Linked DNA regions of Arabidopsis thaliana. The protein of the gene in region 2 interacts with the protein of the main gene of each other region in a pairwise test. Each region holds a gene or a part of one and is shown on either strand. Other genes may lie near its edges. The genes, in order: LSP1, eIFiso4G2, SPL11 and AT3G08530.

Region 1 (7,192 bases), on a different chromosome or scaffold from region 2:
CTTTTGGTTAAATATAGTAAAAATACATTTTCTATTAAGTAGCTTTTCTAAATATTTATAAGATGCTGATTTGATGGGATATTTATAGTATAATTTAGGAACAAATTTGGAGTTATTATGCCTACAATCTGGTAATTTTGACTTACAAACTTCTTAAAAATGAAAAAGTAATTTGATTTAAAAGTGAGACTATATTTGGCTATTTTTCTTATTTTAATCTCAACAATTAAATCAAAAGGAACTTTCAATATTAAATTGACCATATTGAGCTAACTAATTATAAAATAGATTTGATTAAGTGGTAATGAGGTGGCACTCTAGATGGAGGAGTTTATTTTGATTATATATAATTTCTATATTAAATAAAATATAATTTTTAATATTAAAGAGAATTGACCATATTAATAAGAAATTTAAAATAAATATATTATATATTCAGATTAGAAACAAAAGAAAATTATACTGAAAAATCATCTAGTCTCTTTGTAAGTTCCTTCCCTAAAGTGGTTGATCACTAAACCACCTTATTTCTTTTTTTCTTTTTCTTTTTTTTAGCAAGGAACCACCTTATTTCTTTCTTTCTTTTTTGACAGCAAAATACAATCATCCATTTAAGCTAGAAACCGACGGTTTCCTTCAGGTGAGAAGTAAGAACCAGTCCGGTGTAGAGGAAGCTTACATGAGAAAGATAGAATCGCGAGATCTTGCCTTTTTAGCGAAGTATTCATCGCGGACATTGTTTAACGTGGAACAAAAGATAGAGAATAAATGAGGAAACCCAAGTTTTAACATACTCAAATCTTCTAACTCCGAAGAAGAAAATGTGGGCCACTCATCGGGAGTGTCCAAGACCCGAATAAGCTCCTTGCAATCTATCTCAAAAGAAACATTGGAATGGATGATGACATGAGGGAACACATTGCCAAGAGAAGAGCTTCAAACTCTATGTGAAGGAGAGATAAACAATGGTGAATGCACTTTAAGCCAAGATTAGAGAAATGATGATCAAAACCAACAATCCATCCTAAACCACATAAGGAGGTTGTGTTTACTCATGACCCATGTACCTGGCATGTCAAGCAATCTCTGATAGGGGAACGAGCGACTAAGTCTTGGGTAGGTGGTAGCGAATCAATAATCTTTTCCCGGCTTCTTGCCACTCGTAAAGATTTCGCCTCTTAGCTTGCAAGCTGAATGGTGTCTGCATGGTGGACTTCTATGTTCCCAAAGACTTTGGAATTGCATGCTTTTCAAATAAACCATATAATCCAAGGAAAGTATTTTATACTTTCTTCGCTTCCGCCGAGTTCTTTCGTTCTCCAGAAGAGGTAATCTAAATTGTGTAAATCGAGGGTGCAAGGAAGACCTTATTTGTTCCTAAGTGGCTATCAAAAAGCACATGGTTTATGGTCTCATCACACATTCACAGTGAGGGCGCACCTTATTTGTTCCTAAGTGGCTATCAAAAAGTTGTTGGCAGGTAGCTAGACATCTCGTGGCAGTTTGCCAAAGAAAGTGTTTAATTTTTCTAAAGGATTGGATCGTCCATGAATGTTCATGTAGTGCCTTAACATTGGGTTACTAAAAGGGAGGCAAAATCTCCTCAAAGGCAAGCTTTTGTTGCCTTGAAGCCGGATCTGACAGTGTAATTGCCAGATTTGTATGGACCCAGATGTACGAGTCTCTCAAAAAGGCATGACTCAGATGTAGTCTAAGAATGTGGGGTATTTCTTATGTAGCTATCAATTCTTGAAGTTTTTCCTGCTTTCATGCCTCAATGATTGGGTCTATCAGCGATAACGTATAGGTTAGAATCTATTGATGTCAACTTACTTGTCATTGGGCACTCTAGTATGGTTGGAATCCATGGATCACTCCAGACTCTGGTGTCGAACCCTGAGCCAATGTTTTTCCTCAAGCTTGAGAGAAGGAGTGGTCTAGCCGCAAGCTTATTACGCCAACCATAGGAGGGTAGATATGACGGCTTGACGAGAAGGGGGCTCGAGTAGCAGAAGTACATTCCTCTTAGGACTCGCGCCACAAGAGAGTTTGGATATTTCATTAGTCTCCACAACTGTTTGGCAAGGAGGGCTAGATTAAATTCTTCTAACCTTCTGAAGCCCAATCCTCCTTTAGATTGTGGGAAGCAGAATTTGTCCCACACAACCCAATGGAGACCTCTACTCTCTTGGTTGTTGCTCCATCATAAGTTAGAAATTTCACTGTTGAGTTTGGAACAAATGTTTTTTGGTAAAAGGAAACTCGACATTACATACATTGGAAAGGCTTGTGCCACTGATTTGATAAGAACCTCTTTACCTCCCTTAGAGAGTAATTTTGACGACCAAGTATTTATTCGGTTTTTTAGACGATCTTGTACAAAAGCAAAAACTTATGCCTTGGGTCCATAGCTCTTTGCAAGGAGTCCTCAGTAGGTGCCCATACCTCCTTCTTGGTGGATACCTAATATCCTTTTAATATTTGCCTTCTTTTGAGGATGGACCTTGCTTCCGAACATAACTGAAGACTTGGAGAAGTTGATTAAAATTACCAGATTAAACAACGACTACATATCTACCAATGCAATAATAGAACCGTACGACTCCAACATAAGACAAAACACTAATATCCAGTTTGGAGAAAAAAATGATTAATTAAACCATATGAATCTGAAATTTGTTTTTCCAAAACTTGTTTAAGAACTTTTCATTGATGTAAATTGCAATCTCATAGTTTTGTTAACAACAAAATGAACTGTAAACCCAATTTCAGACTCGTGTTTGTTCAATCCTAAACATGTTGGTTTCTTTCCTGATTTGGCTATATCTTTTTATAATTAATAACAATGAGACTATGATAGTTTATTAATTAAAAAAATATACAATATATTAATCAGTTCGGGTAGCCGATTTGGAATTGAAGAAATGTATTTAGTATCGAGTATTAATTTATAAACATATACTAAAAATCTTAATCAAATTTTTTTCCTTAATCCAAAATCTCTAAGCTTTAAAAGTTCAGTAGCCAATTGACACATTGTTTGTATTTATAATTTCAATATGAGTCCATCCTAAACCTAAAATAGATTTAAGCAACTTGTAAGTGAATATTTAAATAATCAAAACGAATTGTTATAAGGTTTTTTGAACCATTTTAGAGGACCCAAAAACTGTGAATCGGAGATGGAAGATCCACAATTTGTAATCGACCATATCTCCTTGTTCAAGCAACTTTAAGATAAACTCAAAATGGTATAGACTCTTCCTGAAGAAGAAATCATAATCTCACGGCTATATAAAAAGAGGATAAAACTAATAAAAGACTAAACTACTGCTTAACTGCAACAGTATTAATTAAAAAGGTTCAAAATCACAGTACAAAAACAATTAATACAAAGGAAAATCGTGGAATCCTGCTCTAAATCAATTTTTTACCAGATTCTTGAAATTTACCTACAAAGAAATAAGATCTTGTAAGATTGTAAATTCATATAGTGATAATTACAAATGCGATAGACATGTACTAACACTATGTGATCCAACAAAATACAAAAGAGAAGCATTAGGGTGTTGCTAATAAGAGTATATTATCTCTGTATTTGTCTAACAAGTGGTGGTTTCGAAAGAGATTTATATAACTCAACTTAATTTATAACAAAAAATCATTTTAATGAAACAGAAAACTTTGTAGAGTTTACACCTCAAAGTGAATGTCCCTAAATGTCTCAGCTATTTGAGTAAACCGACCAAACAGTATCACAAAAAAAGCCATATTGCATCTTCCTCTGGCTTCACACTCGTTTCTTCAGACAGTGAACCGGCTTCTTCTGGAATCATCCTGCGTATAGACAAAGATATATTAAGCCACATGAGATCTAAAACATGTACAAAAAGATGATAGCTTCTTCTTTAGAGAAGTGTAATTACATGGTTATTGAAAGTTATCTTGTCGGTGACATCAAGTATCTCCTTCCACTTCTTCCCAATACCCATCTGAATTACAATAACAAACACCAAGTAATAAATTCATCAGATAGATTCATAAACCAATCTTAACATATTGCCAAGTTTTAAAACAGATGTCCATTGACAAAGATAGTTATGTTTATAATGCCAATGAACTATTATATTTACTATTATGTTTATAAGTCGCAACATATAACCTTAACATTAAAAACAACAATTTTACTATTGCAGAAGTATCTCAATCATCAGAAGCTGGTAAAACTCTCAAGGACAGGCAACAAAGCAAGTTAAGCATCAAAACCCACTAGCTATATAGTTCTCTGTGTAGCATTAAGAATTCTCGTAACGAGTGTTAGTATTTTCTAAAGTTTACCAAACTAAATTTGGATATCCCACCAACAATCATAATCATGAATAGCCAACACCAGCATCAATATAAACATAGTGAGAAGACAAACAAACATCATACCAGAACAGCTTCATTAGACTTCGTCCTAGTCCACAAGGAGAGCTTGTCTTGCTTCGACTGTGGACGGACACTAGCAACCACACCACAAATCTCATCTGCTTCATCAAATTGCTCTCCAATCAAAGCCATCAACTACATATCATAAGAAATAGAACCAGTCACCAAAACCACATATCATCTAACAAAACACAGAAGAGTAAAAGGTTAGGGTTAGGGTTAGAATGTAATACAGTTTCAAGCCAGCCTTTGTCTAAAGCTTCCTTCCTATTAGCAGTAACAACCCAAGTCCACTTTCCTCCATTAGCACACTCTGGATCTTCCCACTTTGGCTCAACACCAGCTTTGAACAAGTGAATTTCAGCATTCGCTGTCAATTTGCTAGTCTGAAATATAGTCTCGTGCAATCTAACAATAACCAAAAAATTAACATCCTTAGATTTTCGGATCCATACACATAGATCGAGATTCACAATAACCATAGCTTCTATACAAATCCCAGATTTAGAAGTTACAAAGCAAGGCATTGACAAATATTGAAATCAAAGGAGAAGAGAGAAAGACGAACCCCCAAAAATCTTCGACGGTGTCGAAAGTATAGGCTTTACGAAGAGAAGCTCCCCAGGCGGCGCCTTTCTTTGATTGGTTATCGAACCAGAAACTCCACTTTCTTTCGAGCTTGTGTGGTTGTTTCTCCGCCTCTGTCGCCGGTAATTCCGCCGCCGCCGGGAGAGGCTCGTTCACATCATCGGTCGCCATATTCTTCGCAGTTGAGTTTTCTTCTGAGACGGCTTTTGGTTACGAGAGAGGGACAGAGAGATTGTTTTTGAGATGTATTTTGGAATGGTTTAAGAAGTGAAAAGGGCTATTTCTGGACTCTATTGGGTCAATTTTGGGCCGGTCCATCAGAGCATTTAACTCTTCTTTTCTTCTTTTTTCTTTTTCTATTGTCTTTTGGTATTTAAAAAACAAGTAAAAATAAAAATCTCCAAAATTAATTGCAAGTGGAATCCCAATAGACAAGGGTTTAAAGTATTTTTTTTTACAACAAGGTGTTGTTAAAAAAAAAATAAAAAAAAATACACCAAGGTATGAGATCTAATTTCCAAATAGCGGAATTTCTTTCATATTGTCAATGCAAAATCTTAATTAGTAGTATCAAATTAGAAAATATTGTTTACATTAGAGGTTCTAGAGTAATAAAAGATATTTTATTATATAAAGCATGATTTTTAAATTTAGTAATTCATATGACTGTTACATGTGTTATTTTTGTAGATCTTAGATTTTGGTACATGTAATTTTATTATAAATTTTAAAATTTTTAATATAAAATAAGATAAATTAAAGAAACAAAATAGTTTTAAAAATGTAAATAAGATTTTTATATTATAGTTCCAAATATAAATTAAAAAAATAAAGTTATTATAATTCCTAATCTTTTTCCCCCAAAAACAAGAAAACTTACAAATCTCTGCTTGATAAACTCATATACTCTCACTCGCCGCCTAAACTTCGGCGACGTTTGTTTGATCGCCGTCGTTCTCTCTTAAGACGAGAAGAAGTGGCAAAAACTGTACATTCTGTATCAGTTACCGCATAAAATCCGGCTACTAATTATATAGAGGTGAGTATTTGAAATCTTTTTCCTTCTAAGATTATAATTAATTGTAAAATTCCTTTATGTATTATATTTAATATAATAAGATCGTTTCCTTAAATCCTTTTTAAAATTTTTAGGAAGACGGTAATCAATTTTCTTTTAGAATTAGTAATTTCAAATTAGAATTAGTAATTGATTTATAATTTCTTTCAGTAAGATACATATAATTATCTTCTTTACATTTTTATTTCTTTAAAATAATATGTAATCTTATATTTTCTATCTTTGTTTGATAAGATACATATAATTTTCTAATATTTATCTTCTTTCAATTTTTTAAAATTGTTTTATATAAGATATATTAATATTTTACTTTGGTTTTTATATTTATATTTTTACTCATTTAATAAAATTGATAATAAGATTACATGTGTCAAAATCTAAAATCGAAAACCATACTTTATATAATAAGATATAATAATAGACAATTCTCAAAAATACCACTAAGATAAGTTTTTTGTTCCAAAAGTAACACCATCAGTTTTTTTCGTAACAGTACCAGTAAAAGATACTTTTTTTGAAAATCCCACAAAACTAAAATTCACCTATAATTTAAACTTTGGGTCTGCATTTAATATTTTGTGTTTAAATTTTAGGGTTTAGGATTTAGTTTTGAAGGTTTAAAATCTTTAGAAATCATTTTTAGACTTTGTGGTATTTTTGTACTAAATCGTTTGTAGAGGCATTTTGGAAAGAAAAAAAAACTATTTATGGTTTTTTGGAACAAAAACTTAGCTTAATGCTATTTTAGTGTATTTCTCTATAATAATAAAACTATGTTACTTTTAGTGATAAACCTTCTATTTTTTTTTTTGAGACTCAATTCAAATCAGTTTGTTTAGCATGGTTGACAACAAAAAAGGGTGGAGTTAAAGCAATTTTTTATTTGCTAGTGCTTGTGTCAAGACCACCATCATTTTAACAAAAAAAAGAAGTAAAAACTTAATAGCTTTAATTTGCTCATAAGTAAAAGATAAGACATCTACATTCTTCTAATTTGATAATTGGCTCAATATGAAATGCTTAATGTATGTCAATTTTGGGCCGAACCACCATAACATTAACACTGCTTTTCTTTTCCAATTCTCTTTTGGTAAG
Region 2 (8,498 bases):
GGAGATGGTGTCGTGTCCGTCGCAGGAGGTGGGCGATTATTATCGATGGCTCTGTATCTGAATTCCATCGAATTCAAAATTTGGAGAGAGAGCGGAGAAAGAGGGTTATCGTTTGTAATCGCTTTTACCTTCTGGTCGGTCACTTTTCTTAAATAACAGGGATAGCTTTTTTTTTTCTGTTTTTTCCCTTTTTTCTTTCACTGTTGTGAATCTTGTGATAATATCAAGAGATTTTTTAAAAACAATATGGAATTTAATCATATGCAATACTTAGCAAATTTGGTTACTAATTTATTAGAGATTTGACCTGTGATAAGATTTAAATATATTTCTATTTTCCTTAAAAACTTGTTTTATTGAAAATTTTAAATTACATTATGTGATCAATCTTTGACGGATTTTTCTATATAAAATTACAAATTTATTAGGGATTTGATTTGTGTAGTGGCGTTTCAAACAAAAATTTAAAATAAATGTATTTTAGATTAAAAAAATTATGTTAAAGGGAGTTTTAATATTTTAAGAGATTACAATTATTACATTATATGCGTGTTCAATTTTTGGCGGATTTCTCTATGTAAAGTTACTAATTTACTAGGGATTTGGTTTATGTGGAACCAAAAACAAGTTTTAAATTTTAGTCAATGTATTGTAGATGGTAATTATGCTAATATTTTTTTTAATCTTTCAAGGGCTTTAATCAAATTCAAAAACTTTGTTCAATCTTTATCTTTTTGTAACTTTGTAGAGGTTTGACCCGCATTATTCAAATTCAAACAGATTCTTAAAACAAAATCTTACAAAAATTCTATACTTTGAAACATTCAACCAAATTTTAAAATCGTGTTCAACTTTCGATTTGTCTATATAAGATTACTAACTTACTAGGGATTTGACTTGTGAAGTGAGAATTTCAAACGATTTTTAAAATTTAGGTTAATGTATTTTAGGTGGTTGAACAATTATCTTTAATTTATGGAGATGATTTTCTGCCTACCAATATATCACCGATTAAAATTCTCACATATGATTACTATTAAGCTAAGCGGCAAAATCATTGGCGTCCCGAAAAAAGTAGTATTCTCTCTGTTTCATAAGTTTGGTATTGTAGGTTTTTTACACAAATTAAAAAAGGTATTTTTTATACTTTTTGATTATTATTTTGTCTTGTTTAATAATATTAATTCTATTTCTCTGTTTTCTCTATTAATCACAGCTAAAAGTAATAATAATGTTATACAAACCATCAATTTTTTGTGAAAAAAAACCTACAACATCAAACTTCATGCAACAGAAGAAATATATAATAAGTTCTAGCGATTAGTTCAAGCCGCTTAACTCGCATCATAACAATGACATATTTTCATTTTAAACTCAGTTAATAATGATTGGAGTGTCCTATATTCTTTAAAAAGTGTAGTATGTCTTTTCATATTCGAACAACTAGGGTGTTATTCGTTTTATTATTTGAATGGTGCATCTCGATTATGCATCCAAATATTGTAATCTAGAGGATGCTTCCGGCTGTTGTTTGTTTATATATTTGGTTCTTCATATGGATTCCCTATCTTGATGTAACTTTGTTTGTTTTTCTTTTGTATTTGTTAATTTACATTCACATCGATGTATTTAATATCAAAATGACTAAATTGTGCATGTGTTAAATTTAATGATATCTTAATAATCTTAACTGTATTTACAACTAAAAAAATTTCAAATTTTTCTTGGCACAATTATAATCCAAGATAATGCAATGTAGCTCATCTAGTAATATCATTTATCAGCTGGAATGAGATTAAATAATGAAAGAGTATGGTAAGTGAAGCCATACCAAAGCTCCCGTGAGTCAACCAATAAACAGACGTCATACGTCAATACCCAAAAAGATATCAACAACGAACCGTAGGATATAATAAATCCCGCAAAATAAACGGTTAAAGATCTCGCGGTACACTCTGTATCTTAATTATTAAGATTCACGTCGCTGGACACAACACCTACTATATTTGTGGTTGTTTGTTTCGTGAAGCTTCTCTCTTCTTCTCTTTTTCAAGTCATCAAATCTGATCTAATCTCCGTAAATTAATGGCGAGTAGTTGCGAGCTTTGCTGCGAGATCTTCATCGCAATTCTTCTTCCTCCTGTCGGAGTTTGTCTCAGGCATGGCTGTTGCACTGTAAGTTTCATCTCTCTCTATCGATCTCTGAACTTTCACAGCTTCTTATTTCAGAAATCGAAACCGTAGTTGAAATTGAATTGATTACGGTTATTTAAATTGAAATTGGTTGCACTCCGGTTTACGGGAACCAATCAATATGATGAATGTGGAGATCAATTACTGAAAATATAATTGTGGTGTTTTTGTTAAAAAGAAACACTAATTAAGGGACTAAAAAATAAAATTTTTAAATTTTGTTTTTCCTAACTCATGTTTTTTTGGTTTAACTTGTAGGTTGAGTTCTTCATTTGTTTGATACTGACTTGCTTAGGCTACTTACCAGGAATAATATACGCAATTTACGCAATTTGTTTCTTGCACCGCGATGAGTATTTTGATGAATACAGACGCCCAATCTACTATGTTGCTTGACCTCTTGATTGATTCTTGCTCTTGAGCACACATATTGTACTTTAAAGTGTAATTTACTTGTATCCTGGAGATAATAATACCATTTTTTTTTAAGACACAGGTATTGTGGTTTATTTTACTATATACTTTGATGAATGATGAATGCATAATGCCCAATTACTATTTGCCTATGGAGCCCTCATATTAAAGGTCAGTATCTATCGCGCTATGATACAGCTAAAGAAATTAGCTCAGCAGTCACTGAAGTGGAAGAGGAAAAAGAAAACACTGTTTTTTCTCTGAACAGTGAAGAAGACAAAGACACTTGGTGAAGAAACAGAGACTGACAGTGATTCTGAATTCAAGATGACTAAGACGACAATACCAAAAACAGGAAGAAAAGTTTAAAACCATTGTTAGCTATTGCATCACTTGAAGACTTCACACTTCTTTTCTCTTCTTTCCTGTTTTGCTTTGCTAAGTTGTTTCCAGGAAAGAAGAAAGAAGAAGTTGTGGAGTCTTTTGATGAAGATAGTGACAGTGATTACTATATTTACCCTAGTCCATTCGATATTGAAGAGAATTCCAACAGTGAGGAATACAATCAAATCTTCATTGTTATATGTTACCCTAGTCCTAATACATACTATATTTATATAATGGTAGTACCATACTTACCATTACCCTGAGTGAGTTTCAACGATGATTGAAATTGAATTAAGGCATCCCACAATTAATTAGATTATTAATGTCAAAGACAAAAATTGTGTAGGCACTAAGAATAAGATAACAATCAACAAATTGTGTTTTTTTTTCTCCTCACCCTGAAATGTTCAAAACTCAAGATGAACGAAAAAAACAAAGATGTAACAAAACTGAACCAAATCTTCCAAGTATGTGATATTAACTCAAAACTTATATAAGAAAAATGATTCAGACTACTCCTCAAGTAAACATTTTAAGACTTTGCCGGCCAAACCAATTTACTTTTAGAGCAAACTCTGGCATGCCTCAACTTCAACCGCCTGCGAATCCAATACAGACTGTCCCGATGGACACTCGCGAACACTCTTTATCACTGCATTGAGTACGGTTTTTCTGAACCACTCATCTTCCATCTTCTTCAGAACATCTCTCACCAGCTCGAAATCCAAGACTTTAGCTGAGACCAACTCCCCTAAGAACTCTCCGAAGCTGTTTGGTGCTTTTGGCAGATCGATTCCAATGTCATCCAACATGGAACCGTAGAGCAAACAACCTGCCCCTAAGTCTTTAGATGTCAGCACATTCTTAGAGATCAGATGTTTCAAGAGTTTGGCAATTGGTTCAACCAATGGTGGGTTTTTCTCTAGACCGAGCGAGATTGTTTCCTTGACGAGCTCCGGGTGGTAAGATGGAGATTTTAGTTCCTCAACGCATTGCAATGCCTCATCCACTAAACGAATACTGAAATACTCTTCAAGAAGCGACTTGGTTTTTCTCTCGAGCTCTCCTGCGTTCAGGCTATTAGCCAGAGGAGCTGCCTGTGGCTGTGGCTGAGGTTGAGACCGTGGTTGCGGCTTCTCAACAGTTGGAATGGGTTTAGAGGCTTGAGGAGCTGAGCTAGAACCGTTACCTTGCAAAAGAGGGCTTGGCCTACCACCACCATTGAGGAGACCTCCGCTACCCTGAGGAAGAAGCCTTGAGTTGACTGAGAGTGACTTGTTGATAGCAGGAGGTGGCTGAAAACGCGGCTGCTGCACTGTTTGTCTATTGCCTCTGGGCATGGACCGGGTCCGTGCCATTTCCCAGCCGTCTTCATCCATAGGCATCACCCTAGTTCCCGGCATGCCGGGCATCATTCCTCCAGTACCAGGACGGCCAAGGATATTTCCCAAGCCCATACCGTCTGCTGCACCAGAAACCGCAGCGCGGTTGTTGTTGTTGTTTCTCATACTTGCCATTGCACCCGGACGCATCCCAAGATTTCTCTCTGCCTCAGAATGGATTTCATTGATTTTCTTCGCTTTCACCTGCCATTGAATAAGTACAACAACACGTAAGCACGGATAAAGAACTAAAGACTGTTATTAAAAGATTTGAGATGGAATGATAAAATCTTACCTCCTCACGCCTTGGTACCCATTTATTAGCTCGAAGATCAACAACGTTTTGGACCATAAATCTGAGACGCAGCTCTAGCTGAGGGTGCCTTGCTAGCTCCTTCAACCGACCAAAGTACGTGTCATTAATACCTCGAGATCGTGGGCTGTCATCAAGTTGCTTCCCAATGGTTATAAAAAATTGGCAGAGAGCTTCAACATCTCCCTCTGCTGGGCAAGCTTTAGTATCGTCTCCTAAAAGCTCCTGAACAATATGATGAACTATCTTCTCAGGCACCATCTTTTGCTTGAGAAGTTCACCAATCAGACGGATATTTCCAAGTGTCCGGAGCTTTGCCATTTTCTCCTTATCCATTCTTTCCATTTCTTGGTCTGGATTAGTCATCTGTCTGATCTCTTCCTTCAATTTGCCAGCACCTTCAAATGCCTCTTGGCAATTATTCAAAAGCACTCTTTTAAAGGTTATTTCTTTCCCACCGGGTTCCTCAGAGGGAAACGAAGGTAGCTGTCCGTTAATATCAAAACACAGAAGAGCATACATCTCGCAGAATGTGGGCTGCAGTATAGCATTCTCAAAAATTAGCTGTATCACTTCCTGCAATCAAAGGTAAGAGCAAATCAATACCATGAAAGAGAGAACTACAACAATAGAGATCAGGAATTGAAACAAACCTTTAGGATATCTGCGGAAGTGATGCCAGCGTCAATCAATTGACCTTTAAGAAGCTCGTACTTCTCCGGAGTAAGCTTGTTTAGAATACTGCATAAAATTGTAAAGAATCAGTCAGAATATACATCACATCAACCTTCAAACACAAAAGCTGAAAAGAATAGTATTAGTTGTTGACAATACCCTTTCACGCTCTTAACGACTCGATCTTTATCTGAAAGAGCTCCTCTTTTAGCTGACCACGGAACCTCCGCTTTAATCAGCACAGGGGTAGGACCAGACTGTTTCACAAGATGATCATGTTAGCAAGAAGAGAAAACTAGTAATGATATGCCAACACATAACAAGTGACGAAAACTTACCCCTTGCCATGTACTTTTGGCTTCACGAGGGTCGTCCCTTAACCATTCTTTACCAGAGGTTGGAATCTGAGAACGACTATGCCAGTCACGGTTATCAGTCTCGGTATGACGATGCTGAGTATGATTTGTTATCTAATAAGACCAAAACCAAGAATGAAAGTTTAAAAGACAGATTCCAAAACAGGAGGATTACACACACACACACAGACACACACTTACTTTACTCTCGGCTGCATGATTCCCCCAACTCTGCTCTTCGCCAAAAAGCTCAACTGCGATTTCCTTACAGCGTCTAAGAATTTCATCAGAGACTTGAACAGACTGCGATCAAGAAAACACAAAGGTGAATGATTTGGTTCACAAAGTCAAAAACAGAATCAGAGAATTAAGTTAAATACCTCTCTGTGCTGAAGTATCTCTTCTCGGGAAAACCTCACACGTTCACCAGAATTTTCTCTCTACAAAAACATAAAATGTCAAGAGCTTAGGATTCAATTACATAACATAAAGTATCAATCTTTGTCCATATTCAAATTCAACAACCCTAAAAATTCAAACTTTGTACAAAATTCGATTCAAAATCATGGAAACGAATCCAATCCTCGTTTAAACTCGAATTGCGAAACCAAATTGAAGAGAAACAGAGGATTTTTCAATGTATTTACCTTGACGGGAAAAGGGGTTTCTTCGGAGCCGCCATTGGTAAGATCAAAAGAGGAAGAGGAGCTAAAGCGAGGGACGAAAAGCCTGCTTTTGCCGCCGCCACCGCCGGGTCTCAAACTCAAAACCGATGGTTCACCTTGTTGTTGCATTACTCGATTCTCTTGTTTTTTCGCAATTAGAAGGATTCAATAAAAAAAAGTTTTGCAGATAGATAGAGGTATATAGTGTATATATATGTGTCTGTATTGACGGTGGAGAAGATAAAATCACTTCGATTCCCTTTTTTTTTTTGGCTGAAGCTGTGTTCTGTGGTTTGCCCTAATTTCCTTTTCTTCTTCTCACGTGTAAATGTTATTGTTAATTACGAAAATATTCTGTATATCAAAATAATTTTATTTATTGAAAAAGAATTGATGGAAAAATCTTACGAAATAAAGACTTAATATTGTTTTTAATGCATCATTATCAAAATACAAGTCTACTTTCACAGAATTAATTACCAAAGTATCCTCTGTCTATAATCTCCAACACAAAATAATTAATTTTTGGGAAAAATAATTGATGGAAAATCTTATGAAATGAAGACATAATTATTTTGTATTTATTGCATCACTATAAAAATAAAAATCTTTGTTGCATCATTAAAAGTGTTGTTGGCATGGCTCTTGCATGAGTTAAGTTAGTTAATTCAAAGATTACCTCTATCTATAAGTTATTTATTTTTGTTTCCTAAAATTATGAATTTTTAAGTAAATTTGACAAATATACATATGTATAATAATAAATATAGTTGGTTTATTAGATTATAATTTCTTAAAAAATAAAAAAATAACTTTATATGCATAGATTCCTTTGCAAATTATAACTTTATTTTACTCCCTTTAAAATTAGGAACATGATATTCCTCAAATTTCTCCCATGTTCAATGTGATTATGCTGGTTTTAGTTTAGATGTTAAAATAAAAATCCTAAAAACTAAAAAGTAATTGGGCCCTTTGTTTTAAAGCCCATAAGCCCATTAATAAAAACATTGACGTTTAGCTTCCAAACATTGGAAACGACGTAGTTTCATTCTCCGTTGCGTTTTATTCTTCTGGATAAGAGCTTCGTGATGGTTTGAAACCTCTGAGTGAAGAAGAAGCGCCATGGCTGGGATTACCAGCAGCACCGTTGGATTCAACGCCGTCTTCACCGGAATAACCAAAACAGTATCATCACATTCACTCTTCTCTGTTGATTCCAAACTCTGTAGTCTTCGTCTCTCCAAAACCGAACTGTCTTTCACTAATCTCACTCCTTCTCCTCGCCGTGCTTTCGCCGTCACTTGCCGCTTCGGCGGTGGTGGTGGAGGTTATCGATTCTCTGGAGACAATAGAAGAGGTAGGCCGAAAGAAGCTGAAATTGATGAAGCTCTTGATATCTCCTCAATTAGGTGAGGATTCTTAAGCCTAATCGTGAATTGAAAATTTCTTTCTGATTCGATTTGTTGATGATGATGTCTATGTTTGAGTAGGTCAGCTACTGTTAGGCTTATCGATGGGCAACAAAACATGGTAAATGTGACTCAAATTCTTCGAATTGTAGCTTTGATTCTGCATAATAGGACTCATAAATTTCCAGTTTGTTTTGCTCTCTATAGCTTGGTTTAGTGTCTAAAGACGAAGCCGTTCGAATGGCTGATGATGCTGAACTTGATCTGGTATGTGTTTCCATTGAAATGCTCTTACTTGTGGACATTAGCTATTTGATATATGCAATGGTTTTTGTATGATATGAGTCAGAACTCGAATCAGTGAAATTGAGCTAATAGATGGAAGATTGAACTAGAATCAAAGCAAATATTAGAAGATATGCTCTGATACCGTATTAGATTAACAGAATTTGGATAAGAGTTGTGAATGATTTATGTTATTCTCTTCTTCAAGAAGAAGAGAATGTACATTGTTATATATAAAATTCTCTTTACTAAGCAAATCAGAACTTCATAAATTAATTTAGCTACACCGAGTCTCTAGTGTAACTAAACCAACCAACTATAAATGATTGATTGTGTTGGTTTTCAGGTTATACTATCGCCTGATGCAGATCCTCCGGTTGTTAAAATGATGGACTACAGGTGAGTATCTAAATATG
Region 3 (8,205 bases), on a different chromosome or scaffold from region 2:
CTAGTCATTTCATCTGAAAGAGTTAAAAAATGCGAAGTCACTCCATAAAAAGTCGGGTTGCATCATCCGATGGAGTTTGACAGTTTGTTTTCAAATAAAATAAAAATGTGCAACATCCATTGCTCAAGCTAAACCAGTCACTCGGTTAGCTCAGCTTTTCTTATACATTTCCAAACATATTGTCAATTTCCTTCTGGATTCTGTTGGTATGACAACTTTGTTACTCTGTCAAACATGTCTACGACTATTTTAAAACCATTTCAGAGATTATTGATGTTGTAAGTTTTTGATATTATTTTTAACTTCTTTGCATAGTGAAAGTGAGAATTATGAAAGACAACTTCTGCTTTTTAAAAGGCACAAAATCTGAAAAAAGTTTGATTTGTGGTATTAGAGGCAACCATTTCAGCAAACATGAACATTCTCTTCTGGTGTTTGGGGGAAAAAGATTCATTCTACTTCCTCAAGAAGGAAGAGTGTCACTATTGAGCTCCAGGGTTTGGTTAGTGCAGTTGAATAATAAGTTGAATTCCCAAAACTTGGAAAGTCAGAAGGAGGAATACACAAAACCGTTAAAATGAATGGAGAACCAACATACACTCGATGAGCACTTTTGTGGAAGTTTCACCAACTAAGAAAATCTTGCAAGGACACCTCCTCTTATGAAACACTTGGTAGGCACTTTTATAGCATGCTCTTTCCTACTTCACTCCTTAAGGTGCTTCCCACAATATTGGAGGAGTTCAAGTCTGAGAAATAAAATCTGACTAAGAAATGATCTCTGCTTGATTTTTGTACTGTGCATGTTCTTGTATTGGTTCCTAGCCTTTTGTCTCCTCCATTTTGTCAAGAAGTTCCTCATAACTGCTATAGCAAGCGACAACAATTTCTCACAGACCACATGGTGACAAGATACATTAATTTCAATCCTTGTCTTCTTTTTCTATTTGACTTCAACATCAATCCCATAGACACATGGTTCTTTCTATTAATTTACACCCCTTCATACTCATCAGGCTTTGTCGTTTGGAGTCTCTCTCCATATGAAATTGATATGTAATTTGGTCCCCTCTATAGGTTTGTACTTAAAACCTCCAAAACTTGTCATCTTTCAACTTTCTATTTCTTTTTACTCTTTGATCTTTCAACAATCATGGAATGGGTGTCTCTTTCCTTCAAAAGCCTTTCACAATCATTAATTGGTGTCTCTTTTCAATTTGGCTTCTATTCTCTTCCCACTTCTCATTGTTTTTTTCTTTTCTGTGATGTCTCTTATCTTCTACTGCAGCCTAACCCATCAGACAGTAACTACTCTGATACCAAGTTGATACAACACTGATTTTGTATAGATTTTTATGCTAAAATTACAAAGCGCCTGATTTTGATAATGACCCTTAGAAATCCTTAAAACTCTGTTGATTTTCATCTGTTGCTAACGTTCATAAAAAGAGTGGAACTCTTTCTTAGTTGAAAAGATTTACCTACTCTTACAGCTTCTCCTTGATTTGCTATCAATACAGAGAGATACATTGAAGAGCCTATCCGAGGTATATAGATATATTTACTGTTTATAGAGTTTTGTTGACAATGACTTTGTTACTAGGGTGTTAAACAATGATAATGATAACGATAACATAGTTATAGTAGCCGAAAGTTTGGCATTTAACGGGATCTAGGACGAGGTTTTTATCATAGGTTTGGAAAAGTATCCACCAACTGAGTAACAGGTTTACAAATTACACATTACTTACTCATCTATTTTGGTACAACATCATATGAACAGAGTAGAGAAAATGGCTGCACATGTGGTTGGGCCAGGGGATCCGAAGAGGTTGACAGAAGAGAGAGAGCACGGTGGATATCTTGAGATTCATGGAGGACTCCTGAGTATTCTCCCACATCTGCCAAAAGATTTAACCAATTGTTTAAGGACTAGAGATCAAATCAACAGATATTTACTCCCTCCACATATTAAAGGACTAGTGAAGAAGTGCATATACCAACCTTCGCCATGAAGTTGAAACTTGGACTTTCCTGCTGGGAACCCACCTGAGGTTTGAGATGTAGAGAACATACGGCTGCTACTAGCAACCAGCTGGTCCTCAGAGCCATTACCTCTCTGGAAGCTCAGAGTAAAGCTTTTTTCCGTTTGTCTAGGCTTTGTATCATAAGTGTTATTACCCCATTCATACATTTCTTCAGATCTCGCGTTAAGGGACACCCCATTCCACAACATATTTGTATGCTGTCTTCGATCTGCAGGAGTAAACACGTTACATTAGATTTCCATGAATGAATTGTGTGTGTATGTGTGAGTGCGTGTGGTAGAGACTGATGGAAAGTCCTGAGGAAATATTGATTACATCAAGTTGCAGTATAGGTTCATACCATACACCCTCTCGGGATTCATTGAAAATACTCCTTGTGGCTTACGACGCCTCGCATTATGATGAGAAAGACGTTTTCGGCAGCTTCGTTTCTTCTCATCAAATTCAGAGACAGCATGGAACCTGAATATTAGAATCATGATCAACTCTCTACCGTATAATATAAATAGGAGCATGTAAAAGTTGATTTGACACAATCAAACTGAATGGGCACTCTACAGTAAAATCTAAAGAGAATGCAACTTAAGAATTATTGAGGCCAGAACATAACCACCGGTTTTACCTGCTACACTGTTGGCAGAACCGACGTTCCAGGCCACTCACGCTAACTTTTGGGCACTTTGAATGCTTTTCGCAGACTTTGTGCTTACGATGATAACCCTTAGCAGATGAGAGATCCAGTTCACAGCCATCAATTTGGCAACGCGGGACTGGCATGCTCTGACCACACAATTTGGATTTCCCAGCGACAACAGATGGAGTTAACAACTTCATAGAAACCGCTGAAATTTCATTATTGTTTCTACCCCAGTATTCTTCAGAGTATGTCCGCTTTCCTAGTTTTAAACAAAGATCTGATTCAGCTGAGGCAACGGATACCTCGAGAGCTGTGGGAGCCTTCACCTGGACAAAGTCTATGTTGCTGCAAGAATCTCCAGGGGAACTTTCTGATGCAAGCTTGCATCGTTTGGCTTCGGGAGATGATGAGTTGATAGAGGTCGACTGTGAGCTTTTCGATACAGCAGTGTGCCAGAAGCTGGTGGCAGAGCCACTACTGACTCTCTCAAGGCCTGAGAAATGTGGAACTATAGATTCAATTCCTTCACCTTTTTCAATTTCCCACTCAGTAGGTAGCTGTTTGCTGTCATCTTCAGTCCTTGACGGATTGGACATGATCAAATGCTCCCAATCCCACTGGGACGAAGATACCATGTTGCAGTCCATTCACGATATGGGTTGATTTCATAGACCTACCACCAGAGCCAGAGCAACAAATCCTACAACAACTACAAGTTTGCAGAACTTTGATTAGTAAATGAGAACAAAAATCATATAAGAAAAGACTAGACAATCAATCCTATATATAACTCTGGCTAGGCAAATAGATACCTTATCGACGACACCCTCAACTACCAATACTATAAGTAAGATAGAAAAAGAAAATTCAAAATTCCAAGGACCAGACAAGGCTTATCAGCGTTTATTGCTCTCACCCTTTTATCATTAACTTGAGCAAGAGAAACTTTTCTATGTTTCACCCAGACCAGCAAAAAGGGCAAGAGAGGAAGGGTATTACTTTTCATCTTCTCATCTCCATCACACAAAAACTAAGTGGCATTTATTGAATTGGTCCTACACTCCTCAAATCAAAAATTTCCCCAAAGTATCTATCAGTAACTTGTCAAGAAACACGATGTACACATTGTAATTGCAAACCCTTCCCTACCCATTCCTCCTTTGTACTTGGAGAAGGTTCCTAACTAACTTCCTCAAAACCAAAGACTAAAAAGCTTACAACTTTACACATTGAATTAACTATATGTCAAAGAAAACGGCAGCAAGCTCAGCCATTAGTGGACCTATCTGCAGCAATAAAGATTGAACGATAAAAAAAGTGACAGTAAGTTAGGTTACGATCCCAATCAAGGTCCCTCCCTCGCAAGCTAGGGTTTTCGATGAAAGCAAATGGTCCCCCCAAACCAATAAGTTCAACTAACTAACGAAGAGATTAAAAAAAGTTACCAATGTTTCAATCAAATTCGTCATTTTGACAAATTCTCTATACCTAGAGACCATTCACCTTGAAGGTAATTTTACTGATTCGTCGATCTATAACTAGTCTAAGAGGCATAAAGCTGAATTTTACAATAAATAACGAAGACGCCCAAATCTAAGAAGCGCAAGTTTTGGAAAAATTTGAGGGAGTAAAGAGTACAAAACCTCAAGTATGAGAGGGCCGAAGAAATCTCCGGACGTCGATGATCGGAGAAGATGCTATTGACTAAGAAATACAGTGAAAGGGACGACCATACACCAAAATCGCCTGAGGAAAATCGAATGAGAGTAGCTCAGAGGAGTCTTTCCCACTATTTTTCTTCAACTGTTTTGCCTTTTTTTGTTTTTTGGGCTTTCGTATTTATTTTGGTGTCTAATTTTTAACTAATACTAGTATATGAAACGAATTATATTTTTACCAACACAGATTCGATTCTATATCGAAATTGGTTATTTATTTCAGGCCTAATATGTAGGTACAATCATATGGACAACAAAATGATGAAATATTTGTAAGTTGTAACTAATTTTAGGCTCTCTAAAATTAGATGTAAAACAAACAAAAAATGCAAGTAACAACATTATAAGTAAGAAAGGTCAAATTTATATTGTTGGATCTTTCTTCATATTCTTATCGGTCGCTAATTAAACATGTAAAAAGCCGCTGAAAAATCGAATTTGTATGTTCAAAACATTAATTCAAAAAGGCTGCAACTCTTTTCATTTGTTAGAGAACCTAGTACCTACCATTCATACCTAGTACAATTCGTGCAAGTTTTAATATCTATAAACCTCTCTTTTACTTTCACAAGTACACTAATACTAATATTTTAGAGTGTCCATCCCCGAGAACATCACAATTAAATGAAAATTTATTAGACGTACGATGAACTGACTAAGATTAGTTTAGGGGAACTATATATTTTAAATTAAATTAAAAGCATTACTAAACATGAAATTATGAGTTTGGTCGATATACCGTTAGTACATAGTACATAACACATAGTACATTCCATTCATTTGTACTTTTAGTACACATGGCTCTTTGATAGACACAAATTTTAGCTTTTGTGGAATTACGTGAGTCTTGTTTGCTGTGATGATGTCAAGAGAAAGTGATACTAAAATATAGTCATGGGGTTTTTACAGTTGGACGAGATTTTTACACATTTTGCTTTGTCATTTTACAAAACGAAGTAAATATGTATTTCCAACTATACCATTATCATATCATCACCAAGAAAATCCAATGTTCTGAGATTCCTCTTCATATCCACCAAAACAATCATATTCAAGAAAAACTATTATCAATCCGAATATTATGAGTCTTCAAGACCATATATGTGCGTTTTTGTGGAAGACCGTGCATCGTTTGAGATGCCACACTCTATGAGCCTGCTTCGAATAATCGAATCCTTAAACTCTCACTAAAAACACGGATCATGTATTCATATCCAATCAAAATCTATCCACCAAAGAACACAATGTTCATGAACGGTCTAGGAAAAACAGTCCGTAAAACCAAGCTCTCTATAAGTTTATAGGTTACTACTACTAGTAGAAAATTAGAAATCTAAAATGGTTGTTTTGGAAATACTGACCCCAAAGAGGTTCGTGCTTTGACTTTCAAACACGTCCGCTAGATTTTCAGTAGTTGACATGACACGTCTGTTTTTTTGTCCGACGAGTCTCAATTCTCGAGCCTTCTCAAGCTCTTAAAATCTCAAATAACGACCCAATTATAGACGGCCACGTAGATATCACACGTCTCAATACCCAATCATAGATGGTCTGTGACGATGTACGTTGTGAGAATAGCAAGACTGAATCTCTTTTTAGGTGGTGAAACACAGATGTAAAAAAGAGAGATATATTGAAATCAAGGAGACAAAAACTTAAGAAAAAAAACCAAAAAAAAAAGAGAGAGGTGAAATTGATTTTCTGCTCGCGATCGTCATTTCAATTTCTAATTAGCTTTCCTGGTGTTTCTTCTCCGGCGTAATCATGGTATGAATGCGATCTCGATCTTTGCCTATAACACTTAATATGGTTTTGTTTTGTCGATTGCATAATGAGGATCTGAATTCATGTTTGATTGGCTTAAGATATGCTTTGCAGCTCCGATCTGAGTCAATATGTGTGGTATTATCAATGATTTTGAATTTTGAGTCGGATTAGCTTTACGTTATGCCAAATTGAAAATTTTAATCTATTGATTAGTTGGAAAAGATGGATCTGTTTTCGAAATTTGAACAGATTAGCTGAGTTCTTATCTGCATTGTGTCTATTGTTCTTATGATTCCGATGCATGGCCGAATTTTACCTGATCTTAGCCCAATTTCTCTGCTAATTTGCACAAATACATGAATTGGTACCCAAATTGGATGCTTTGTTGAATGAAGAGAGATTCTGATTTTAGTAATATGCTGCATGATCTGGAAATAACCATTACTAATGCGCAGAGGCAGATGTATAATGATGCTTCTTATTACTGAATGGGGTTGATTTTAAAAATTGTTGCAGACAACCTCAAAAAGACTAGCAGACAGGAAGATTGAGAAATTCGACAAAAACATTTTAAAGAGAGGATTTGTTCCTGAGACCACCACCAAGAAGGGCAAGGATTATCCCGTTGGTCCCATCCTTCTTGGCTTCTTTGTCTTTGTTGTCATTGGATCATGTGAGTAACCTCTTCTTCTTATTCCAATGCCTAGCTTTACTTGCTCAGAACTTACTACTCTATGTTGAGGGCACCAAATAGCTTCTTAAAGTTAGGCTTCACGCTTCTTGATTTGGACATTGATGTTAGTTCTACAATTTCTTCTTTGTCCCATGATATATAACTCCAGTAACGAGCATAGTCTGGAATCTGAATCATTTGATTATACTTTGTGTATGCGTATGTTACTATATTTGTTAACCTTCTACATGATTTGTTACAGCTCTCTTTCAGATCATTAGGACTGCAACTAGCGGAGGCATGGCATAAACCAAAACACAGTCAAGCTAGAAGAAGCAGTTTTCAAAATGTAGAATCTTCTTCTGTCTCCTTTCTTTTTCTCTCCTTATACTGTAGAATGTGTCAACTTTCTGTTTACTATATCATGTAATGAAGATTATTTGAGTTTTTTATAATCCAAGTATCCAACGCTTAAGTATGTTCTTCAAGTTAGATGCTGTTGTTGTTATGCTTCTGTTCACTTGGTCCGTCAAATACAAAAAGTGTTAAATAGTTCCTTCTGGACTTGTGTACTTTTTATGAAACTTTGCTCACAGGTTTAAGAGGTTCCACACAACCCAAAGTTATTTATTACAATACAGAACGTTTTGTATATTACAGTCTCGAAAATCAAAACCGAAATAAAACAACAAAAAGAAACCAACCGTGTGTGAACCGTTCGAATACAACCTCAAAGCTGGCCAAGGAAATTGTACCAGGAGAAAAGATGATCAAGCCCTAGCTGTAGGGGAGGGATGAAACGCTGTTCCGCAAGCGATCCAAAGTCTTTTCCTCCCACGAGGAACGGTGCAGCCAGGGACCTTGGTCCATTCCCTAGTCACAGCATTGTAGGTTATCAGACGGTTCATCTGTCTGGACCTCAAGGACAATAATATCAGACAACCTTTGTTGCCCAGACAATTCATCCTAATGTGCTTTCCGTAAAACTCCAAGCACCATATGTTTGGCATTCTGTCAACCTCCTTCCACAACAGTGTCATCTTCTGCAGCTCCCATATGCAAACGCAAGTGGCAGCGTTTTTAGTCAGTAGACCCACCAGCATCAACCGCTCTCCGCACGCAGCCAGCGTGTGATCGCTCAGGTCTGGTGGGCCAGGTATAATGAACTGTTTCCATTTCCCAGAGACCATGTCATAGGACAATATCCCTTCGGGATCTGTTAACATGAAGTAAAGTGTGCTGTGGATAGCCACTGGCTGTGACTTAAAGTTGAGCAACACCGGGAGCTTTATGTTGGACGGGATGGTCCCTCGTTTGGTCCACACATTACTCAGGGAATCATAGACTTCGTACTCTCCTTCA
Region 4 (7,600 bases), on a different chromosome or scaffold from region 2:
GCAGAGATGCCCTCAGACTTGCTTTCCTTTGATGGAAGGGACTCAGATGCAGTAGACCTGGATGAGTTGCTTTTGTGAATTGATGATAAGAACTTTTTCTTTGACAGATTTGTAGAAGCTGATGAGACAACCGAGCTGAAGACACCAGATTCTTTCAATGCTTGTATAACAACCTGCATTTTACCACAAATGTATATAATATTTTACAATTGACTTGCAAGAACTCAACATTCCAGGACTTGTGTTTGGAATTTTGTATAATGAATTGCAGAGTATGTTCTTACCATTGGTGAATAGATGCGAGTCAGAATACCCTTCCTAAGGAGTTTCGTCTTCACGTCTTTGTCACCCCACACAACGTGTTCACGGTACCTACACAGGGTAGATTACTTTTTGATCAAGACCAGATATTTTTGTAATCACAATAGGACCAAACTTGTTCAAAGAGTGTCAGAAGTTATCTATTTCACAAGTAACCAAGAACGATGCTAAGGCTCTTACCAGCTTAGCATTTCTTCGTCAGTTGCTGTTGACGCAATTATAAATGCCTACAATGTTGATCCATACAGCATCATAAAAGGGTAAGAGGAAGTGAAATATAGAGATTTTAAGAAATGACTAAGGACTTTTAGAGATTTTAAGAAAAGATGCTCACAGATCTGTCAAAGTCCAACATAAAGCATCTTTTCACGTCTTCTTTTGTAGGCTTACAGCCACATCGATCACGCCTGGATGTTAAGTCAGAAAATTTTGAATATGTGTAGTGTAGGACAGCAGCCTCCTCCAATTTGATCTCACTAGCAAGAATCATCAGGTTAGTATTTCCAAAAAAAAATTGGCTTCACAAACAGAAAAAATTAACTACGCTGTTAACCGGAACTCCACTCCACTGCTAACTCCTTTAAGATAGTTACATGGTTCTATATTAGAGTAACAACAAAGTCCTATCATGTTCCTCAACCAATAGAAAATTTAGTTATGTTTGAATATATGATAGACATACTTGGGAGTTTTCATGTAATTATGCCATCTGTGTGCTCCATTTGGACGAAGGTGATCTTGAACCCGAGCAACTGATTTGCCGTTACCATAAGTCAAAAAGTAATTTGGATTATTTCGTGTTGCTTCTTTGTACATTCCAAAATATGTATCTTTTGGAAGATGATCATAATTCTTCTTGAACATTGACACCTGCTTGCACCACACATATCTCAGAAGTAATACTAACATAACAAACAAATATTAATAAACCTACTCTCTTACGTAAAGACAGTAATAAACTGAATTATACCTCTGTAAAAGGATCCTTGATATCATCTCTTTCTACGCTGCTTTCCTAAACAACAAAATCCAAAAGCATTATTCATAGCAAAGGCCAGATCATAAAAGAAACTTTAGACTCACAAAACTAGCTGAAAATAAGCAATGCAAGAAGTGTGAATGAGATATCACTCACGTAATTTGGAAATATAACCATATCCACATTTGGAGGAACATCAAGCAGCAACCGTCTTAGTGAGTACTCACGAGCACCTGCTGGGTATATCAGCTCATCAGTGTCAAGATGAAGTATCCAATCCATGCCCGCATCCTGATATTTAGTAAGAACAAGAAAAATGAGAATGTAACATGAGACATGAGTCAAAACTGAACCAAATAAGGTCTAAAAGAAATACTTACCCTAGCCATGACAATAGCCATTTCCATGTTGAGAGATTGTTTGACAAATAACTCATAATTGCAGGGCTTATAAAAGAAAGACGAAAGCCAGGTCTCATTCCAAATCCGGCTGATGAAACAAAACAAAAAAGAATGACAGTAAAATGATCAGTAGTAGAAAATACAACAAAACAATGCTACAATTTCAGAATATACAACAAAACATGTGTTTAGTGCCTTGAAGAGCTATAGCTTTGTCGCAAATATGCAATGGGATAACTAACTAACCTCTTCGCTTGCTTCTCCTCAAGCTCTTTCGTCCTGTATATTACTTTAACACCCTGCAAGAGACATGGGACTACATTTATCGAAAACTGCATACCTTAAATACAAATTTATACCTACAGGACTAAAGAGCTAGAGATATACAGCCAAAACAAAATAAACAGTGGACGCGAAGAGAGGTAGTTCAACTCACAGGAATAGACTCGAGCACTTTAGAAATACTCGGAGTAGCAGCTTTCCCTTCAACGAAAAGGAAGAATGTTGAGACGCCTAGAACCTTATGGTAGAACATCCATGGTAGAATCTGATCCAATCCAGCTGATGTGCTAGTCGTGATACATATCTGTAAACAGTAACAATGTCAAGAATCATATACAACATGGAGCACAAAAAGTGAGGTGACTTTACAAAGACAGATCTGATCAAAAAATGAACTTTGGTATTTCTCAAATCTCTATAATCCAATAAAAAAAGAACAACTTGATATTTCAGATTAGACATTGTAGTAAGATTTAAGAAAAAAAAAAGGAATTTGGAAGTGTAGATCGATCCAAAGACTTGAAATCAGGGGAATTGAAAGTAGTAACCTTAGGCTTTAAGCTAGTATCAACACCAAACTTCCAATCAGCATAGTAAGGAAAAGAAGGAGAAGAGCTGCGAGCTAGATTTGAGCAGTCGGAGGAGGATTGGTGAGACTTTGGGGAGACAGATGAAACAGTCTCCATGCCGGGAAAGACCTCGTGATTGAGATCGGAGCCGCCAGGAACCGACGTAGAGGAACGAACAGAAGCAGAGGCAGGATCGGCGAGACCACCGCCTCGCCATTGGAGGATAAAGGCGAGACAAGCAAGGGAAACTGGAAGTAGAGTAAGGAGAAGGAGGAGCCTAGAGACGAATGAATGGTTTTGGGAAGAAGATGAAGATGAGGAAGAAGCAGATATTAGTGGAGCTCTGTGATGGTGAGTCGATTTCATGGTTAGCTCCACCACTTTGAAAAACAAAAAAAAGTTTCGGAGGAAGAAGACGAAGAAGAAGAAGAAAGACGCGATTCTGAGATCTTTCTTTTTATTTTATTTTCGTGTTTTGGTCGTCTGAGATCTCATCGGTAAAATTAAACTTTACTAACTAAATCTAATTGATTATCAATTCATCTCATTTTATTATGTATAAAAATTGGGAGATTTTCTTCCATTTTTTTTCTTAATCTTTCTCAACTGGATTTGAATTGATAGATTGGAAACATGTACCAACACAAAGAACAGAAGCAATTACACAGGGAGAAACAAATCTCCACACACTAAGCCACTATAAGCTAATAACAACAATAACCTATACAAAACAACAGAGCCATATAACAAAAAAAAAACCAATTCAACCAGGGGAAATGACTCTTTCATCACAGAAAACTGAATGGAACCAAGACGGATGACTTGATGCAACATACAATTGCAACCTGCAATCATCAGTGATACTCTATGACATAATATTCCTTCTTCTTTTGGATCAGATTAATTAAGTTTTGTTTCTAATTATTAAGTCATGACACTTCTTCCATTCTTAATTATTAAGTTTTTTTTTTCTTGTATCAAATCTTTAATTATTAAGTTTTTTAAAAAAAATTATTAAAAGTCATGACACTTCTTCCATTCTTAATTATTAAGTTTTTTTCTTGGATCAAATCTTAATTATTAAGTCATTTATTGTTGTTTCACCTAAGGTACCTTCATTTAAAAGCACCAATTAAAATATTTCACGTGTCGTCTCATTAGAAATTCGGATGCTTAGAGCCCAGTAAGGACCGATATGGGCCGGACCTGGTTATAAATGTAAGACTCTAATTGGATCGCTGTTCGTCATTACTTACCCATATATATTTGTTATTCTTCTTTTCTCAATTTTCTTTCTCTTTCCATCACCTTTCTCGTTCACTTGCTTCAGATCTGGCAGCGATTTCATTTCTTCTCCAGTCTTTCTCTCGTCTCGGTTCTATCTCCTGGCCATTGGCGGTCAGGACTTCTCAGCCGTATATTTGATTCCGTCCCCGGATTTACTCTTGCTGTGATCTGAGGTCAAACATGGCGGCTGCCAACGCCCCCATCACGATGAAGGAGGTCCTGACGGTGAGTTCTCCTTACTCTTCACTCTTATCTTTGAATATTTAGATGTGTATCTCCTGGAATCGACCGTGATTTTCTACGATTAAGCTCTGTTCAGTCTCTTGATTGATTGATTCCAGTTTCCTACTGATCTGAATTCTGCTCGATCGTTGTGTTACTCTCTAGTTTTTCCGGATCGCTTGTTTGGGAATGCATGTTTCTGATCAGATTTCTCTAACTATGCTCAGATCTGTGTTTCGTTAATATATCAATGCCGAATTTCAAGTTGTTGTCTGTAGCAATGTGCTTATGTACTCGGATCTCATAACTAAATAAATGAACTATTTGACGTAACGCTTCATCTTGATTTTTCCAGCTTCCGAGCATCGGGATCAATCAGCAATTCATCACGTTTACAAATGTTACTATGGAGTCTGACAAGTATATCTGTGTACGAGAGACGTCACCGCAAAACAGTGTTGTAATTATAGATATGAATATGCCGATGCAGCCTCTTAGGAGGCCTATTACTGCAGACTCTGCTCTTATGAACCCAAACTCGAAGATCCTTGCCTTGAAAGGTACTTGATTTTTTCCTTTGATCTAAAACCCATAACGGTTTCCTCGAATTCGTAGTTCATAATCCACTTATCTTGATGTTCACTTTTTACTTCAATATTTATGTAGCTCAAGTTCCAGGAACTACTCAGGATCATCTACAGATATTTAACATTGAAGCCAAAGCAAAGTTGAAATCACATCAGATGCCTGAGCAGGTGAGTGTTGATGCAAATATATTTGAACTCCATTATCGTTCCTGCTATACACTTCGTATAACTCTGAATTTTTCAGTCGGGTTTTTTTTTGGATAATAATGTTTCATGTTTTTACAGGTTGTCTTTTGGAAGTGGATTACACCAAAGATGTTGGGGCTGGTCACACAGAATTCCGTCTATCATTGGTCAATTGAAGGTTGTATATTTCAGCCTACTGTCATTTTCTTCATATCTTGTGTTTTCGTTTCTAATTTTCCTTCGGGTTTTATAGGTGATTCTGAGCCAGTTAAGATGTTTGATAGAACAGCCAATTTGGCCAACAATCAAATTATAAACTATAAGTGCTCTCCTAATGAGAAGTGGTTGGTTTTAATTGGAATTGCTCCTGGCTCTCCTGAGGTAAGTTTACTGCGCCACATATTAGGTCAAAAAAAGACATCAAAACTGCTTTCATGTTGTAGATTCTTGACTGATCTTGTCATTATTATCTGTTTTCTGTAGAGACAACAATTGGTAAAAGGAAATATGCAGCTTTTCTCTGTGGATCAACAGCGGAGTCAGGCCCTTGAGGCACATGCTGCATCGTTTGCGCAGTTTAAGGTAACGTCTTTGTTCTTTGGTGAGTTCATCTATGGTCTAATCTTGAACTGTAGTTTGACTTGCAACACTATTAATATTAGGTTCCTGGGAATGAGAATCCTTCTATTCTTATATCATTTGCAAGCAAGAGCTTTAATGCTGGGCAGATAACATCAAAGTTGCATGTCATTGAGCTTGGTGCCCAACCTGGTTAGCTCCCCGACGCAAAACTATATCTTCACTGTTATTTAATATAATTGGTTACGTTTTCTAGGTTGTATTCATCTGATCTTTAAAGGTTGGCGATTTTTTTGCAGGAAAACCATCATTTACAAAAAAACAAGCAGATCTCTTTTTTCCCCCTGATTTTGCTGATGATTTTCCTGTTGCCATGCAGGTTTGCTATTGCATTAGAATTTCAGTTATATGTGTAAGTAGTTAGTGACAATTTCTGGCACTAATTTCTCATTTTCCTGACAGGTCTCTCACAAATTTAACTTGATATATGTTATCACCAAACTTGGCCTGTTGTTTGTGTACGATCTAGAGACTGCTTCTGCTATCTACAGAAATCGGATTAGTCCAGACCCAATTTTCTTGACTTCTGAAGCTTCCTCAGTTGGGGGTTTCTATGCCATTAATAGGCGAGGACAAGTTCTTTTGGCTACAGTAAACGAGGCTACCATTATACCTTTTATTAGTGGCCAAGTATGCTAATCTTTTATGCTATTTTCCCGTTATAACCTACCCTTTTCATCATGTCATGCTAAGAAATCTATGCTTTTGTATCACAGTTGAACAATTTGGAGCTTGCTGTCAATCTTGCTAAAAGAGGAAACCTCCCAGGTGCAGAAAATCTGGTATGCGATGTTTATCATGGATCTGTTGTCTCGGTGAAGTAATTATATAGTTGTTAAATGGCAGCTTGAAGAAAAAAAATGTCATTTGGTATTGTGAAGTTTCTCATATTCTGCTCGGATGTTGTAGGTTGTCCAGCGGTTCCAGGAGTTGTTCGCTCAAACAAAGTACAAGGAGGCTGCTGAGCTTGCTGCTGAATCTCCTCAAGGAATTCTAAGGACACCTGATACAGTGGCCAAATTCCAGGTGTCTATTTCATATCCAAGCAACTATGTGTAAACATGTTTATTTATGATGAAATGTTGGTAACACCAATTTTTCAACTCTATAATTTTGCAGAGTGTTCCTGTACAAGCTGGACAAACTCCTCCATTGTTACAGTATTTTGGGACTCTTTTGACTAGAGGGAAACTCAATTCATATGAGTCACTGGAACTATCTCGGCTGGTTGTGAACCAAAACAAGAAGAACCTCCTGGAAAACTGGTTGGCAGAGGATAAACTAGAATGCAGTGAAGAACTTGGAGACCTTGTGAAGGTAATCTTGAAATGGACGATTTTATTCAAAATGTGTGATATGTCTCCTATGGTGTGTTGTGACGATAAACCTTTCTGTTCCAGACTGTGGATAATGATCTCGCTCTGAAAATATACATCAAAGCTCGGGCGACTCCAAAAGTTGTAGCAGCTTTTGCAGAAAGAAGGGAGTTTGACAAAATACTGATTTACTCAAAGCAGGTAAGCAATAAGATCTATAGTATAACCTCTTCTATTATTTTTACCCTAAAGTTCTGTTGTCTCATGAATTACCATTGTTTCATATTGTGACTTCAGGTTGGGTACACACCTGATTACCTGTTTCTTCTGCAAACCATACTCCGTACAGATCCTCAGGTTAGTGTGGTGCACTCTTGATACTTGCAACATACTAAACTATGAAAGGACTTTACTGAATATATGTGGCGTAAGCACTGGAAGAGTTATGAATCAACTAACTTGTTGAATAATTTGACCTGATGTTATATAGAATGAAGAATCTTTTTCCCACCGTATTAATATCAATAGTCTTTTAATTTTTATTTGCAGGGAGCAGTAAATTTTGCATTAATGATGTCTCAAATGGAAGGAGGTTCTCCAGTTGACTACAACACCATCACTGATCTTTTTCTTCAGGTAGGTCAATATATTCTGTATGCACCAATATTTGTAGCTCATTACTTGTTCTACTCCTATATACAGAATTGTATACAGTAGATGTAAATTATCATGTGCTTATTTGTCTATTTGTGCATATTCAGAGAAATCTGATCCGTGAAGCGACTTCTTTCCTTCTGGATGTGCTAAAGCC

Evidence for each region.
Region 1: the proteins of eIFiso4G2 (region 2) and LSP1 interact in a two-hybrid assay, tested with the Arabidopsis thaliana proteins (one large-scale study listed by BioGRID).
Region 3: the proteins of eIFiso4G2 (region 2) and SPL11 interact in a two-hybrid assay, tested with the Arabidopsis thaliana proteins (one large-scale study listed by BioGRID).
Region 4: the proteins of eIFiso4G2 (region 2) and AT3G08530 interact in a two-hybrid assay, tested with the Arabidopsis thaliana proteins (one large-scale study listed by BioGRID).

The regions. Positions count from the first base shown.
Region 1 is NC_003076.8:13,821,142-13,828,333, forward strand, and holds LSP1 (Eukaryotic initiation factor 4E protein), read right to left. Parts: upstream 5,263-7,192; 5' UTR 5,191-5,262; coding exon 5,000-5,190; intron 4,840-4,999; coding exon 4,665-4,839; intron 4,567-4,664; coding exon 4,435-4,566; coding exon of another isoform or gene 4,429-4,434; exon of another isoform or gene 3,993-4,428; coding exon 3,927-3,992; intron 3,838-3,926; coding exon 3,805-3,837; 3' UTR 3,700-3,804; exon of another isoform or gene 3,480-3,699; intron 3,453-3,479; 3' UTR 3,283-3,452; downstream 1-3,282. UniProt on the Arabidopsis thaliana protein: Recognizes and binds the 7-methylguanosine-containing mRNA cap during an early step in the initiation of protein synthesis and facilitates ribosome binding by inducing the unwinding of the mRNAs secondary structures.
Region 2 is NC_003071.7:10,221,943-10,230,440, forward strand, and holds eIFiso4G2 (MIF4G domain-containing protein / MA3 domain-containing protein), read right to left. Parts: upstream 6,757-8,498; 5' UTR 6,515-6,756; coding exon 6,368-6,514; intron 6,161-6,367; coding exon 6,101-6,160; intron 6,024-6,100; coding exon 5,922-6,023; intron 5,835-5,921; coding exon 5,703-5,834; intron 5,622-5,702; coding exon 5,524-5,621; intron 5,431-5,523; coding exon 5,343-5,430; intron 5,266-5,342; coding exon 4,672-5,265; intron 4,581-4,671; coding exon 3,558-4,580; 3' UTR 3,283-3,557; downstream 1-3,282. Other genes in the region: AT2G24030 (zinc ion binding / nucleic acid binding protein), read right to left, coding at 1-68; AT2G24040 (Low temperature and salt responsive protein family), read left to right, coding at 2,086-2,175, 2,452-2,589; AT2G24060 (Translation initiation factor 3 protein), read left to right, coding at 7,511-7,797, 7,879-7,918, 8,005-8,064, 8,429-8,481.
Region 3 is NC_003070.9:9,497,266-9,505,470, reverse strand, and holds SPL11 (squamosa promoter-like 11), read right to left. Parts: upstream 4,578-8,205; 5' UTR 3,333-4,577; coding exon 2,671-3,332; intron 2,511-2,670; coding exon 2,389-2,510; intron 2,257-2,388; coding exon 2,005-2,256; intron 1,902-2,004; coding exon 1,756-1,901; 3' UTR 1,448-1,755; downstream 1-1,447. Other genes in the region: SPL10 (squamosa promoter binding protein-like 10), read left to right, coding at 1-17; AT1G27350 (Ribosome associated membrane protein RAMP4), read left to right, coding at 6,168-6,170, 6,687-6,843, 7,106-7,152; LCR (Galactose oxidase/kelch repeat superfamily protein), read right to left, coding at 7,614-8,205. UniProt on the Arabidopsis thaliana protein: Trans-acting factor that binds specifically to the consensus nucleotide sequence 5'-TNCGTACAA-3'.
Region 4 is NC_003074.8:2,591,831-2,599,430, reverse strand, and holds the start of AT3G08530 (Clathrin, heavy chain), read left to right. Parts: upstream 1-3,776; 5' UTR 3,777-4,019; coding exon 4,020-4,064; intron 4,065-4,416; coding exon 4,417-4,621; intron 4,622-4,727; coding exon 4,728-4,816; intron 4,817-4,933; coding exon 4,934-5,012; intron 5,013-5,087; coding exon 5,088-5,215; intron 5,216-5,317; coding exon 5,318-5,416; intron 5,417-5,496; coding exon 5,497-5,605; intron 5,606-5,712; coding exon 5,713-5,792; intron 5,793-5,875; coding exon 5,876-6,103; intron 6,104-6,189; coding exon 6,190-6,255; intron 6,256-6,382; coding exon 6,383-6,499; intron 6,500-6,592; coding exon 6,593-6,790; intron 6,791-6,873; coding exon 6,874-6,990; intron 6,991-7,086; coding exon 7,087-7,146; intron 7,147-7,338; coding exon 7,339-7,425; intron 7,426-7,550; coding exon 7,551-7,600. Other genes in the region: KOB1 (elongation defective 1 protein / ELD1 protein), read right to left, coding at 1-173, 285-372, 502-548, 656-797, 1,004-1,191, 1,292-1,336, 1,457-1,591, 1,681-1,789 and 3 more.